Bombyx mori: one gene and its partners. Each later gene encodes a partner of the first gene's protein in a complex. Links are inferred from orthologs where the notes say so. Each region holds a gene or a part of one and is shown on either strand. Other genes may lie near its edges.

Evidence for each region.
Region 2: general transcription factor IIH subunit 5 (region 1) and general transcription factor IIE subunit 2 share a complex: the UniProt entries of both Homo sapiens proteins name them as parts of the TBP-based Pol II pre-initiation complex. The link is inferred for Bombyx mori from reciprocal best matches to the Homo sapiens genes GTF2H5 and GTF2E2.
Region 3: general transcription factor IIH subunit 5 (region 1) and DNA-directed RNA polymerases I, II, and III subunit RPABC5 share a complex: the UniProt entries of both Homo sapiens proteins name them as parts of the TBP-based Pol II pre-initiation complex. The link is inferred for Bombyx mori from reciprocal best matches to the Homo sapiens genes GTF2H5 and POLR2L.

What each region holds. Positions count from the first base shown.
Region 1 is NC_085109.1:11,979,602-11,983,804, forward strand, and holds the start of general transcription factor IIH subunit 5, read left to right. Parts: upstream 1-1,261; 5' UTR 1,262-1,388; coding exon 1,389-1,423; exon of another isoform or gene 1,424-1,653; coding exon of another isoform or gene 1,654-1,791; intron 1,792-2,427; coding exon of another isoform or gene 2,428-2,574; intron 2,575-2,692; coding exon of another isoform or gene 2,693-2,798; intron 2,799-3,312; coding exon of another isoform or gene 3,313-3,449; intron 3,450-4,064; coding exon of another isoform or gene 4,065-4,154; exon of another isoform or gene 4,155-4,160; coding exon 4,161-4,203. Other genes in the region: meiotic nuclear division protein 1 homolog, read right to left, coding at 1,654-1,791, 2,428-2,574, 2,693-2,798, 3,313-3,449, 4,065-4,154. UniProt on the Homo sapiens protein: Component of the general transcription and DNA repair factor IIH (TFIIH) core complex, which is involved in general and transcription-coupled nucleotide excision repair (NER) of damaged DNA and, when complexed to CAK, in RNA transcription by RNA polymerase II.
Region 2 is NC_085118.1:15,266,870-15,271,172, forward strand, and holds the start of general transcription factor IIE subunit 2, read left to right. Parts: upstream 1-1,377; 5' UTR 1,378-1,521; coding exon 1,522-1,583; exon of another isoform or gene 1,584-1,587; intron 1,588-2,315; coding exon 2,316-2,420; intron 2,421-3,244; coding exon 3,245-3,407; intron 3,408-3,864; coding exon 3,865-3,974; intron 3,975-4,303. UniProt on the Homo sapiens protein: Recruits TFIIH to the initiation complex and stimulates the RNA polymerase II C-terminal domain kinase and DNA-dependent ATPase activities of TFIIH. Both TFIIH and TFIIE are required for promoter clearance by RNA polymerase.
Region 3 is NC_085133.1:5,484,791-5,488,342, forward strand, and holds DNA-directed RNA polymerases I, II, and III subunit RPABC5, read left to right. Parts: upstream 1-1,445; 5' UTR 1,446-1,722; coding exon 1,723-1,817; intron 1,818-2,857; coding exon 2,858-2,966; 3' UTR 2,967-3,032; downstream 3,033-3,552. UniProt on the Homo sapiens protein: DNA-dependent RNA polymerase catalyzes the transcription of DNA into RNA using the four ribonucleoside triphosphates as substrates.

The DNA of each region.
Region 1 (4,203 bases):
TATGCAAGTGTAGTGTTCGCTCACGCGGCCCGCATACACTTGAAATCATTCCAAGTCATTCAATCCCGTTTTTGCAGGATAGCCGTCGGAGCCCCGTGGTTCGTCAGGAACGTCGACCTCCATGACGACCTGGACTTCGAGTCCACCAGTAAGTATATGCAGTCGGCGTCAATGCGCCACTTCGATAAAGCGGCACGACACGAGAACCCTCTCATCGTGGCCGCCGGTAACTACATTCCCGATCCTGCGGACAGAATGGAAAGCAGTCGACGTCGCCCAAAACACGTCATCTCGGATCCTCCCGATCCACTAACGGTGCTTTTAGGTACTTCAAGCACCGGTCACCGTTCTCGTCGAACCCGTCGCTTGCGACGAAGGGCTCGACGAGTAAATTAACTCTTAGACACAGCCCACTGAGTTTCTCGCCGGATCTTCTCAGTGGGTCGCGTTTCCGATCCGGTGGTAGATTCTGCGAAGCACGGCTCTTGCTAGGGTTCGTGTTAGCAACATCGTCAGGTTTGAGCCCCGTGAGCTCACCTACAAAAGTTAGGGTTACGCTGATATAGCCTCTCAAGGCTCTCAGCTTAGGCAGGAAAAAAAAAAAAAAAAAAAAAAAAAAAAAAGAATGATTTAGAACCAGCAGACTTCAGAAATGATCTACGAATGGATTCGAGGTCGTTTGACCAAATATTAAGCCTTGTGGCACAATTTTTTTCAAAAGCAGGATACTATCCTACGATACTACTATAGTCTATTATATATCTATATTATATAACTATTACATATCTAATCCTACGATAGTATAAGTCCAAAAGAAAGATTGGTTGTAACATTAAGATTTCTTGCAACAGGAAATTCGTATCAAGATTTAATTTTTAGTTCTTTATAATATCCCAACCCCTTCTGACAAAAATTATCCCTGAAACAAGTTGGGCTATTTATAAATGTTTGGCACATTTAATAAAGGTGAGCGAAATAAATACTTTTTATTCGGAAGTAAAAAACAAACTAAGCCGTCCTTACGCACGGAGAGCTATGGGACGACTGAAATCATTAAGTAACTAAATGCGATTACACCTTCTTATATGCGTTTCTAATTAGGCTTCTAAATGATTTAGTCAGTCAGAAACCATCCTTGCTACTGAATTTAGCAGGTTAACTTACTGAATGCTATTACACCGACTAAATTTAGCAAAGTGTAATGAGCCTTCCACACTTACCCATAAATAATAGATATTAAGTGTATAGTCTATGAATAATAGTTTATAATAGTAATAGTATTCTGTATAACCTATGGTATCTACTGAAAGTAGGGAGTAAATAGGTACCTACATACTTTATTTACAATTAATTATTACATAAAGTGACAAGTTCTAAAACAATGAACCATGGTGAATGTAATGAAAGGTGTCCTCGTTGAATGGTATTTATTATTTTTATTTCTCACAAATATTACTTTTACATATGCAAACTTACAGATAAAGTTAGAATCGTTACAATGTGCTTTAATGATTTGAATTTTAAATTACATCAGTTAATCAATTTACTACGTACAATATATTAACTTGCCAAAGAATTTCTTCTTTGGTTTTTCCCATACTTAAATTTAATGTTCTGGGCCTAGGTTATGAGGAATGCCTTGTATATAAAACTTCATTCAATGTAATCCATATCTTTAGGTATGTTAAAATTTTCTTCTAGTGCATCAATATCTATTTGAAAACTATTTTTTATATAAGATTTCAATATATATACATTTTCTGTCCATCTGTTGCTGGCTGTTTTCAATTCCTACAAAATGAAACATTTTTAATCCAATATTATTATTTGATAATATTATAGTTATGTCTTTGGTTATACATACTACCACCTACAGAAAGCTATTTATCAAAACATAGTATTTTTTTAAATGTACTTTGTTTTCCTTATTTTTAAATAATGAATACAATGCTTAATTAATATACTGATAAGTTATATTGAGTAATATTACCCACCAAATAATAAAATATATATTTTCTAGCATGAAATAGACATGTTAGACTTAAAAGTCATTACCAGTTGTAAGCTCATACAGTTTTGTCATTCTGCCTACATCTGCCAAAAAAAATATACACATTCCAGTTTGATCAGTTCACTTGGCCTTTATGAAATATAATAGTAACTGATCTAATGTGTGCAATATTAAAGTGGGTAGCAGAAGTCACATTGTGATACCTATCAACTTCAGTAACTTACTTAACACTTCAGAAACACTAAATACTATACTACTATAGAAAGGCCATGAACTGATTCATCAATTACTAAATCCTTAAACTTGGGACATTGGCCTTATCTATTGCGCTCACAGTGGGGCGCTAATATGAGCTTGAATGGAATATAGACCTTAAGACATCATCTCATCTACATTAATATAAGAATTGGATTTACAGTTATTTCACGTCTCAGTTGTGCAATATATTCAGGATCAGATTCTCTGTATTTTTGTAATTCTCTCTTATATGAAGCCTCTTGCTTTTGAAGATCTTCTAAAGATGATAATATTTTTATTCTTTCTTCAGATATCTCTCTGCCTTTCTAATATTAAAGTCAATTAATAAATATATCAGTCTCTGATAAATATAGAATAGAATTAAGTTTCATTATAACTCTATAGACTATACTATACTAAGTAAAAAACTATAAATATTCTGACCGATTCTGCTATAAGGACTTCCTCAGTTTTCTTTAACTTCTTCGTACATTCATCAAATTCATTCTGGAGTTCTTGTAGCTTCCTCTTCTTGGTACTTTTTGCTTTGCTACAAGTAATTTATTTAATGTTTGCATGGCATTACCACAGCTTGCTTGATTTGAAAAATAATTTTGCAGTCATAAATTTTTAAAAAGCACAATTGTTTACTCTTAATTTCTCATAGCATCAGTGTGTAAAGTCCATGTAAATTTTATTATTCAAAATAATAAAACTAGTCTTAGTCAATGACTGACTCGGTGGTGCAAAAGTTGGCACCCCTGACTGCCGAAAGTTGTGGATTCGATTCCCATATTGGGCAAAAATTTATTCATTCAGCTTTACTGCTTACATGAGTCCACCTGGTTTTACATGGTAACCGAAGCCCATAGACATTACAACATAAATGCTGCCACCTGCCTTGAGACAAGATTTCTAAGGTCTCAGTTGTAACAGCATGATGACCTAACACCCTTCAAACCGAAATAAATAACTGCTTAATGGCAGAAATAGGCCAGATTTGACGCCAGATGATAATGTACTGTTCTGTTCCCAGTTATTTAGTTAGTTGTTTAACATAGTACCTTGGGAAAGACCAAAAGTACACTGAAGTCCCAATTTTTTCAGAATCAACCAGGTGATCATCAATTAGACTCTGAATCACTTCTTTAACTGATTGCATTGTAATACCCTTTTCTTTTGGTGCTATTTTTTCTAGTTCCTGTAAAAGTTAAAATATAAAATATTATCTTAATAGATTTTGTTATGGCCACTTCTGTTTTATGTGCTGTCTAAACATTTTCTTTTGAACTAATTATTGACTATTTGGTGACTCAACTAACATGATCACCAACAAATAAGAAATTGGACTCCTACCAAGTAAGTCAAATGATGAGTAAACATTCGTGAAAACTTCATTTATTATTACTTTGCTCTCAATTAATTAAAAAACGACCTTGCATTGCTAGTAAGTAAGAAACTCCAGACACTATTTCACACTGTCTCATTTATCCTAAATAAGAGATATATTTTATTGCTTAGTTGAGTGGAAGAGCTTAATACCCACCCCTGGTGTATGTGATTAGGTTACTGGAGTCAACAGACATCACAATGTATGTGCCACCCATCAGTATTATCAGATTTCATTAATTATTTATTGTGAAAGTCATTTATAAACATGTTTAATTACAAAGTTCATTACTAAAATTGGCACCTAACCGCTGGGTTTAAACATTGCTATAATAATACTGTTTAATATGAGTACATCTGGCATCTTATCGTTTAGGGCAGAGTGACATCGAAAGCTATGTATGAAGTTGTAATTTAATGAGGTTACCTTTAATTGAAAAAAATCTTGACTTTGATGGAATATTTCAAGCATTCTGGTCTTCTTTTCATCAGCACTAAGACCTCGTTTCTTGGACATTTTCAGTGATCCGGCAATGAAACAATTCTTACTACACTTGGATGAAACT
Region 2 (4,303 bases), on another chromosome or scaffold:
CAAACCTGCGTTGCTTGCCAGCGAAGTAAGGTGACGCGGCATATAAAATCTCCACTTGGACACTTCTCCAGTCCTACGTCTCGACTGAAGCATGTCCATATTGACATCATAGGCCCTCTTCCATCTTGTTCTGACTTCCAATACTGCCTGACTGCTGTGGATCGCTACACTCGATGGCCCGAAGTTTGGCCTATGCACGGAATAACAGCAGAAGAAGTGGCGAGCACCTTTGTAGCCGGTTGGATTGCTCGATTCGGAGTACCTGCTGTCATCACTACCGACCAGGGACGACAGTTCGAGTCGGACCTTTTCAGACGCCTTACTAATTTATGTGGTACTAAACGTATACGCACTACTAGTTACCACCCTTGTGCCAATGGGCTCGTGGAGCGCATGCATAGACAATTAAAGGCCTCTCTGATGTGTTATGATGATTCGTGGTTGAATGCATTACCTTTGGTCTTATTAGGAATGCGTTCGGCTTTTAAAGAAGATCTACAAGCAACAGTAGCGGAATTGCTTTACGGAGAAACATTAACGCTTCCAGGGGAACTGTTAGTACCTCCCGGTCCTTCTGGCTTCGAGGACCCGACGGATTTTGTCGTAAAGTTAAGACAGCGTATGTCTAAATTGCGTCCCACTCCATGTTCCTCACACACTAAACCATCACCTTTCATATTTAAAAATCTTTCCACCGCCTCTCATGTAATGCTCAGGGAGGATTCGGTTAGACGTTCAATGCAACCACCTTACTCTGGTCCTCATAGAGTTATATCTAGAGCCGAGGACGGAAAAACGTGGTCGATTGATGTAAAAGGGAAACAGGTGACGGTCAGTGTCGACAGAATTAAGCCAGCTTTCGTCGAGCATTCTTTAGTAGATCTCGTTCCAGCACCAGCACCGCGGGTTTCTGTGCCTCAACCAGCGCAACCGGATGCTACTAATGTCCCTTCATGTCCACTCGTGCCTTCGGCACCTCTAACTGCTACTCCTACGCATACACCTCAATATACCACCCGATCAGGTCGCAGAGTCCACTTCTCCAAACCTTTCGACCTATGATATTTTTTTCTCTTTTTCTGCGGATTCTCCTTCTCCGTAGGGGGGTGGTGTGGCGTTTTATTATGCGTAAGCCGGAACGCACGAGATGTGGGAAAAAGAATATAGTCTGTGACAATACCTTTTTACCGCCAAAATATGAAAAACAAAAATAATTTATAATGTGATAATAACCAATTTAATGTAATTACTTTATGCCGCTACAACAATAAAATTTATATTGTTCCAACTGTGGTGTTAATTACATAAAACACAACCAGGCGAAATAAAGAAGGGACTCTATATGAACTCCCTCACGTCATTTGTCAAAGATGGTCATATGTCACATGTCAAATTGCTCAAACCGGATTTTAAAGAAACAGGATTTGGAAGTGGAAAATAGACTACATTACAACAGCAATTAAACAAAATACTAATACAATTGATACGTACTTTTAGTGATTGTGTTTAAAAGACGAAAATATGGACCCGGCGCTCTTACGGGAACGGGAAGCGTTTAAAAAGAAGGCACTTGCGACCCCGAGGTCTGTTACATTATTTTTAACTAAACTATTCGCTAGTCCACAACAATGATTGGAGACATACTGGCATCCATCGCACACTTTCTCTGTCACTCACGTAGCCCATACAATTACTATCAATTCACTTCCTTGTGGCAATATTCATTACTGAGTCATTATATAAAGTTATGAATGGAAATATGTGTTTCGAAATACTAAATGAGTAGAAATGTGAACAAATCACTTGTGCAGAGAAAAGTAGAAGATTTAAATGTTAATAAGATATAATATCTTTCCTAATTTAATAGCAGCCAATATTCTAGATAAATATGATCAAGGCACAGGCCCTATTTTTTTAAAGATTATATTGACTGGCATGCCCTAGGTAAATTAGAATACAATGGAAAATGTTTCATTTAATTTAAAGTAATGAATTTTTTCAAAGAATCTGATCAAGCTGACAGCCCACATTATGTTAAGTGATTACCTGAGCCCCTAGATATAATGTGAATGTCACCAATTGTTTTGAAACATGATTTTTATCTAAAATGCTACTTCATCTTATAATCCATTTATGAAAACGTGTTAGAAATGTTTTGCCGTGGAAAAAATTATACAGGTCTATGGTATTTGAATACCAGCATAGTCACACTTGATAAAAGTACACTTTACATGAGCTATAGTTCAACCCATCGAAAGGTTACTGTCAAATTAGAACGAAACAAAATTAATAAAGTATTATTCTTTTCTCTTCAGCATTGAAAAAAAGAAAAGGGATGACTCTGAATTCAAAGATGACAGCAAAAAGAAATCGAAATCATCCAGCTCAGTCAGCTCCGGACCAAAGCTTGATGCTAGTAAGTAAGTAAAGGCTAGGGCAACATAATTAATAATTTAAAATATTCTGTTATCAAAATAACTATTGAATTTACATAGTTACTGTGTTCCGCATAAACAAATATGTGCATCATTTACTAATGCTATTTTCATTAATAAACTAGAAATCACATTTAGTTTTATCTTTTGACTAGGTCAAATTACTATATCAGCAATATCTATTCATGACATCAGTACCATTGCTTCCCATAATTTATTATGCTTTATAGGTAATTTTAATCGCCAATTCTATTAAATAATACTAATAAACTTTTTATAGCAATATCAACTTTTGAATAAAAAAAATTAGAAAAAGCCTTTGGAAAAAAAATTATGAAAAATAAAAAACACAGGATTTATTTGGAATTCGAAAATTTATATTATGATAGCCTTGATACAGGCTATATGTAGCGAGCTTTTTATTGTTAAAAAAATAATTTATCATTTAGTGTATTTGCTAAAATCTTATAAAATATATAAAAAAGAATTGATCATATTTAGTGCTACAATGGATAAAATATTGAGATAGAGCATATAGATACCAGTTCTTTCTCTGTTTGACAACTCTCCCTTTTATTTAATTTAGTAGCTATTAAAGAGCTTTTGTGTTATCAGAAAACAGTTCTAGATTTTTTTTTATATCACTAAGTAACGAAACAAAAGGGAAAATTTAATACTAAATTGAATCTAAACCTTGAGGTGTCAATGATTATGGTCGAATTTAGATCAATAAGCAAACACTAATAATATTATTTTTTGTTATATTATAATTATTGGTTAAATCTGTGATTGATCATCATCCTTTTCAGTTACAAGACTATGACTGGCAGCTCGTCCTATCGCTTTGGTGTGCTAGCGCGTATTGTACGGCATATGAGAGCAAGGCATCAAGATGGAGATGACCATCCACTGTCTTTAGATGAGATTTTAGATGAGACAAATCAATTGGATGTCGGAAATAAAATAAAACAGGTATCTTTTAATAAGTATTGAAATAATAAATAAATTACCTCAATAATAATTACAACAACACACACATTTTCTTATAGCTGATGATAAATGCAATTTTTATTTTATTACTAAGTCTAATGTGCTCACGAACCACCTGGTGTTAAGCAGTTACTGGAGTATATAGACATGAGTTCTAAATCTCACTTTTATATTGCTTATGCTTCAGTAAAGAAATAGGCAGTGTGGTTATATCTACCCCTGCATGCTCACAAGACACCCTATTAACACTAACTGTATCTACATAATGTATAAAAATAATCATGAGTAATTACTTTAGGAAAATGATGGCATTAATTACAGTATTATTATACCCCAGCACACAAGTACCACAACACCCAAATTGATTAAAATGCTTTTTATAAATAATATTCTATTTTAATTGATTTCTCTTTTATAACCTGCTGTAAACATTTTCAAGTGGCTACAAACAGAAGCCCTACAGAGCAATCCTAAAATCGAATGCTCTCCGGATGGAAAGTTTAACTTCAAACCGGTTTATAAAATAAAAGATAAAAAATCTTTACTGAGGTACGTATAATATTTTCATTATTTACATAATTCAAATGTAGTAACTAGAAAACGATTTAAAGATCATCACCTGACAAAAATCATATAAATAAAAAGTACTTGTTCAATTTGCATTTCATTTATTGTAGGCAGCGGTTTGGCTCTGCCCCTGGCATTGCTGAAGTCCATGGGCGACGGTAACTACTCACCATCAGGTGGGCCGTATGCCCGTCTGCCCACAAAGGCAATAAAAAAAAAATTGTCTTACTCTTATACACTTTTATTTTAAGCGTGTTGTGTATGTTTGTTTATATGTAATAAATAGAATCTATGAAAGTCATTTTGCCCCC
Region 3 (3,552 bases), on another chromosome or scaffold:
ATTAAGACATTTTTTTTTATACTTATTAAAATAATCTTAATGAATTCTTGTATTTCAATTGAGAACAAGGCTTTTGTTCATGAAATTAAAAATAAATTTAAAATTTCATACTGCAAAATTGCCTGATAACTGCACTGTCAGATATTTTTCACTATTATATCCGAATTAACGCTAAGGCCAGACCTTTGAAATTGTAAATAATTCAAAATACAACAGAAAAGTAAGAAAAATTATCACCAAAAAATTACAAAACCCCCTTGTTTGTTGTATTTCTTTTAATAATCTAATGTCAATTGTCAAAATATCATTTTTATTGATTCGTTCATATAGTACAGGCAAAGGAAATGGGACGCATACAGTAAAATGTTTTGTAATTTAAGCTGAAGCCAATCATCAGTCAAAGGTGAACTGGAACGAATAAACTGAATAATTGTATGAGACCGAATGGAAATTGTACGTTGTAGTTAATTTAGGGTTTCTTCAGACTTTAAAGCTTAAAATAATGGTTTATTAACCGTAAAACATTTGTTATAGTACACAAGTATGAGAAAATGGAGTAAAGCAGCTGGAAATGTATTTAGAACATATTTTTATGCAGCGCAGCATTGCAATGAGTCGATTCCTATATTGAGACGAAGCAGATAACACTGAAGGAGAAAATGAAATATACTTAACAACAACAACATCATAGGACTTGAATTACATGAAATTAAATAAATATCGCAGTAACTTATTATTAAGCAACTGACAGCCTAATGCATATTTTGGAAGAATACGAGAAGCTATGACTGACGTTCGTCTTTCATTTTCCCAAACTTTTGCATTTTCACATATTCCAAACGGTTCACAATTCACTCTCATTACACATGTAGATCTGATGAAATATTAAATTTACAAAATAAAATAATTAACTTTGGACTTTTGAGATTTCACAAATTCGATATGCTCTCCCATGCCTTAATGTACGGAATGAATGGTTGTTTTAACTTGATTTATTTACATTGAAAATTTGCCGATGATCACAAATGAAATGCTACGTACCATTTGACTGTCATCAATACTGATATGTTGCTGCAGGGATAAAGTCATTTTAACCTGAAATAATAGAGAAAACCATACATTTCACATTTTTTAAGAGACTGGCTTAGAAAATTTCTTGATTACTTATTAAAATATTCTAATAATAAGTAGACTGCTCCAAATATGCGTCAATCAATTTCACTCAAACGTTAAAAAGGAGCATATCTTACTCTCTAAAATCCAACCACTAAAAGTCAGTTTGGAAATTTAAAAAATAATTATGTACCATTCAAATGAAATGAACATTCATTCAATGTTTTAAAATGTTTTAAAAATAAAACATTAAAATTTGGTTCTATAGACTACATTCCTTTTGCCGATTGAAATCGACAAACAAAAATATCATATTTTCTTGTGACACTGTCATCTTTAATCATAAGTCATAGACAATACAATATGTAATCTATGACTGTCGTTGCGAGTCTAAAAAGTTTTTATCTCGAAGTAAAATAATATTATTGTGAATTGTAAAGAATAGAATTACAGTGTTTTCTCATTAAATTTAATGATACTTTGTAACTAAAATATCTTCTATTATTATTAAAAGTAAATACGTTTTATAAACCAAATAAATAGTTAAAGCATTGATACTTTATAACCCCAGTGCCTCACCACAACTTTAGGTTGTAGGAAATAAACAAAATGATTATTCCAGTACGATGTTTCACATGCGGGAAGGTTATAGGAAACAAATGGGAAGCTTACTTAGGCCTGCTACAGGCGGATTACACAGAAGGGTACTGTACAATTTAAGTTTTGCAACTGGTTTTTATACTTACCAATATTCTAGAACTTTAAAATGGAAATAACTGACATACATAATATAATGTAGTTATTTGATAAAAATTCAGCAAGAAAGATAAAACAGCTCCTCCCAGAAACAATATTAATGTTCTTATGAATTCAAATGACGGAATATGTAGGTGATTCCTGTTAACTTGGGTTTTTCTTATTTGCCAACTCATACTTACAGCCCACCTATCTTAAAGTGGTTATCATAATCCATAGGTCACAAGGTGGTAATTTTTTTTTTTTTTTTTTTTTTTTTTTTTTCCTACCTAAGCTGATAGCCCTAGCGGCTATTTCAGCGTAGCCTTAACTTTAGTAGGTGAGCTCACGGGGCTCAAACCTGACGATGTTGCTAACACGAACCCTAGCAAGAGTCGTGCTTCGCAGAATCTACCACCGGATCGGAAACGCGACCCACTGAGAAGATCCGGCGAGAAACTCAGTGGGCTGTGTCTGAGAATTAATTTACTCGTCGAGCCCTTCGTCGCAAGCGACGGGTTCGACGAGAACGGTGACCGGTGCTTGAAGTACCTAAAAGCACCGTTAGTGGATCAGGAGGATCCGAGATGACGTGTTTAGGGCGACGTCGACTGCTTTCCATTCTGTCCGCAGGATCGGGAATGAGGTGGTAATGATGGTAGATCTTGACACCAGATTAATCTCTGGACTGTTTTGCAATATCCAGTTTGAGTGTGAGGAAACGGAAGCATATAAGTGATAAATGTAAGATGATATCCTACTAGACAAGTAAGCTATGTAAAAAGTGGCCCGAGTTGATATAATCATTACTACCAACTGCAGCAATGAAATAAGATTGTTAATGCTTGTTAGCTTTGAGTATTCTTATACCTTTTTTAATGTGTTTATAGGCATAAGATTCTCTTGATAGTGATAGATTACTGGTAATCATCGAAGTCAGTTAAGCGTACTGTATACAGTAGATTTACTATGTGAATGTTAATATTTAATTGTATTTTTTTACTTTCAGTGATGCTTTGGATGTCCTTGGATTGAAAAGATACTGCTGCAGAAGAATGTTGCTCGGACACGTGGATCTCATTGAAAAACTCTTGAATTATTCCCCATTAGAAAAATAATGAAATATTTTTTAAAAAACACAATTAAAAATAAAAATCTATAATTGACATAAATTTTTTAAGATATTAGAGTTTTTCTTTCATACCTATATTAATCACCGCACAAAGGCTCTTGATTTACATGCCTCCCATTGTCAATGGAAAGTTTAACACAGTATTTATTTTAACTGGTCAAAGTCTCAAAGCCTAGGACATTGGTTCCTTCTGTCTATTTGTGAAGAAATTCTATCTCTACTGTATATTTAATAGCCAAAATTATTGTAAGCTCTAACATTTGAAAAATGACCTGCTGTTTGCTTCTTTTATAATCTGCATCAATTGAGGTTTGTATACGAGTGCGTGGGTGCAGGTTTTTGTCAGCTTATTAATATTCTGAATCGTTAAAGCCTTGAAACTATATAAACTAAATAAGAGTGATTTTTTCATGTACCAAAAAAAACTAGAGTAGGTTAAGACTAGTTACAAAAATTTTATTGTTATGAGACTTGTTTTAATTGCTTTTTACTTGTTACGGCCAATCCACATTTCATTATTGCTCATTATCAGCTCGTCACACACTTCAATTATCAATTTCTTTTATAATTGA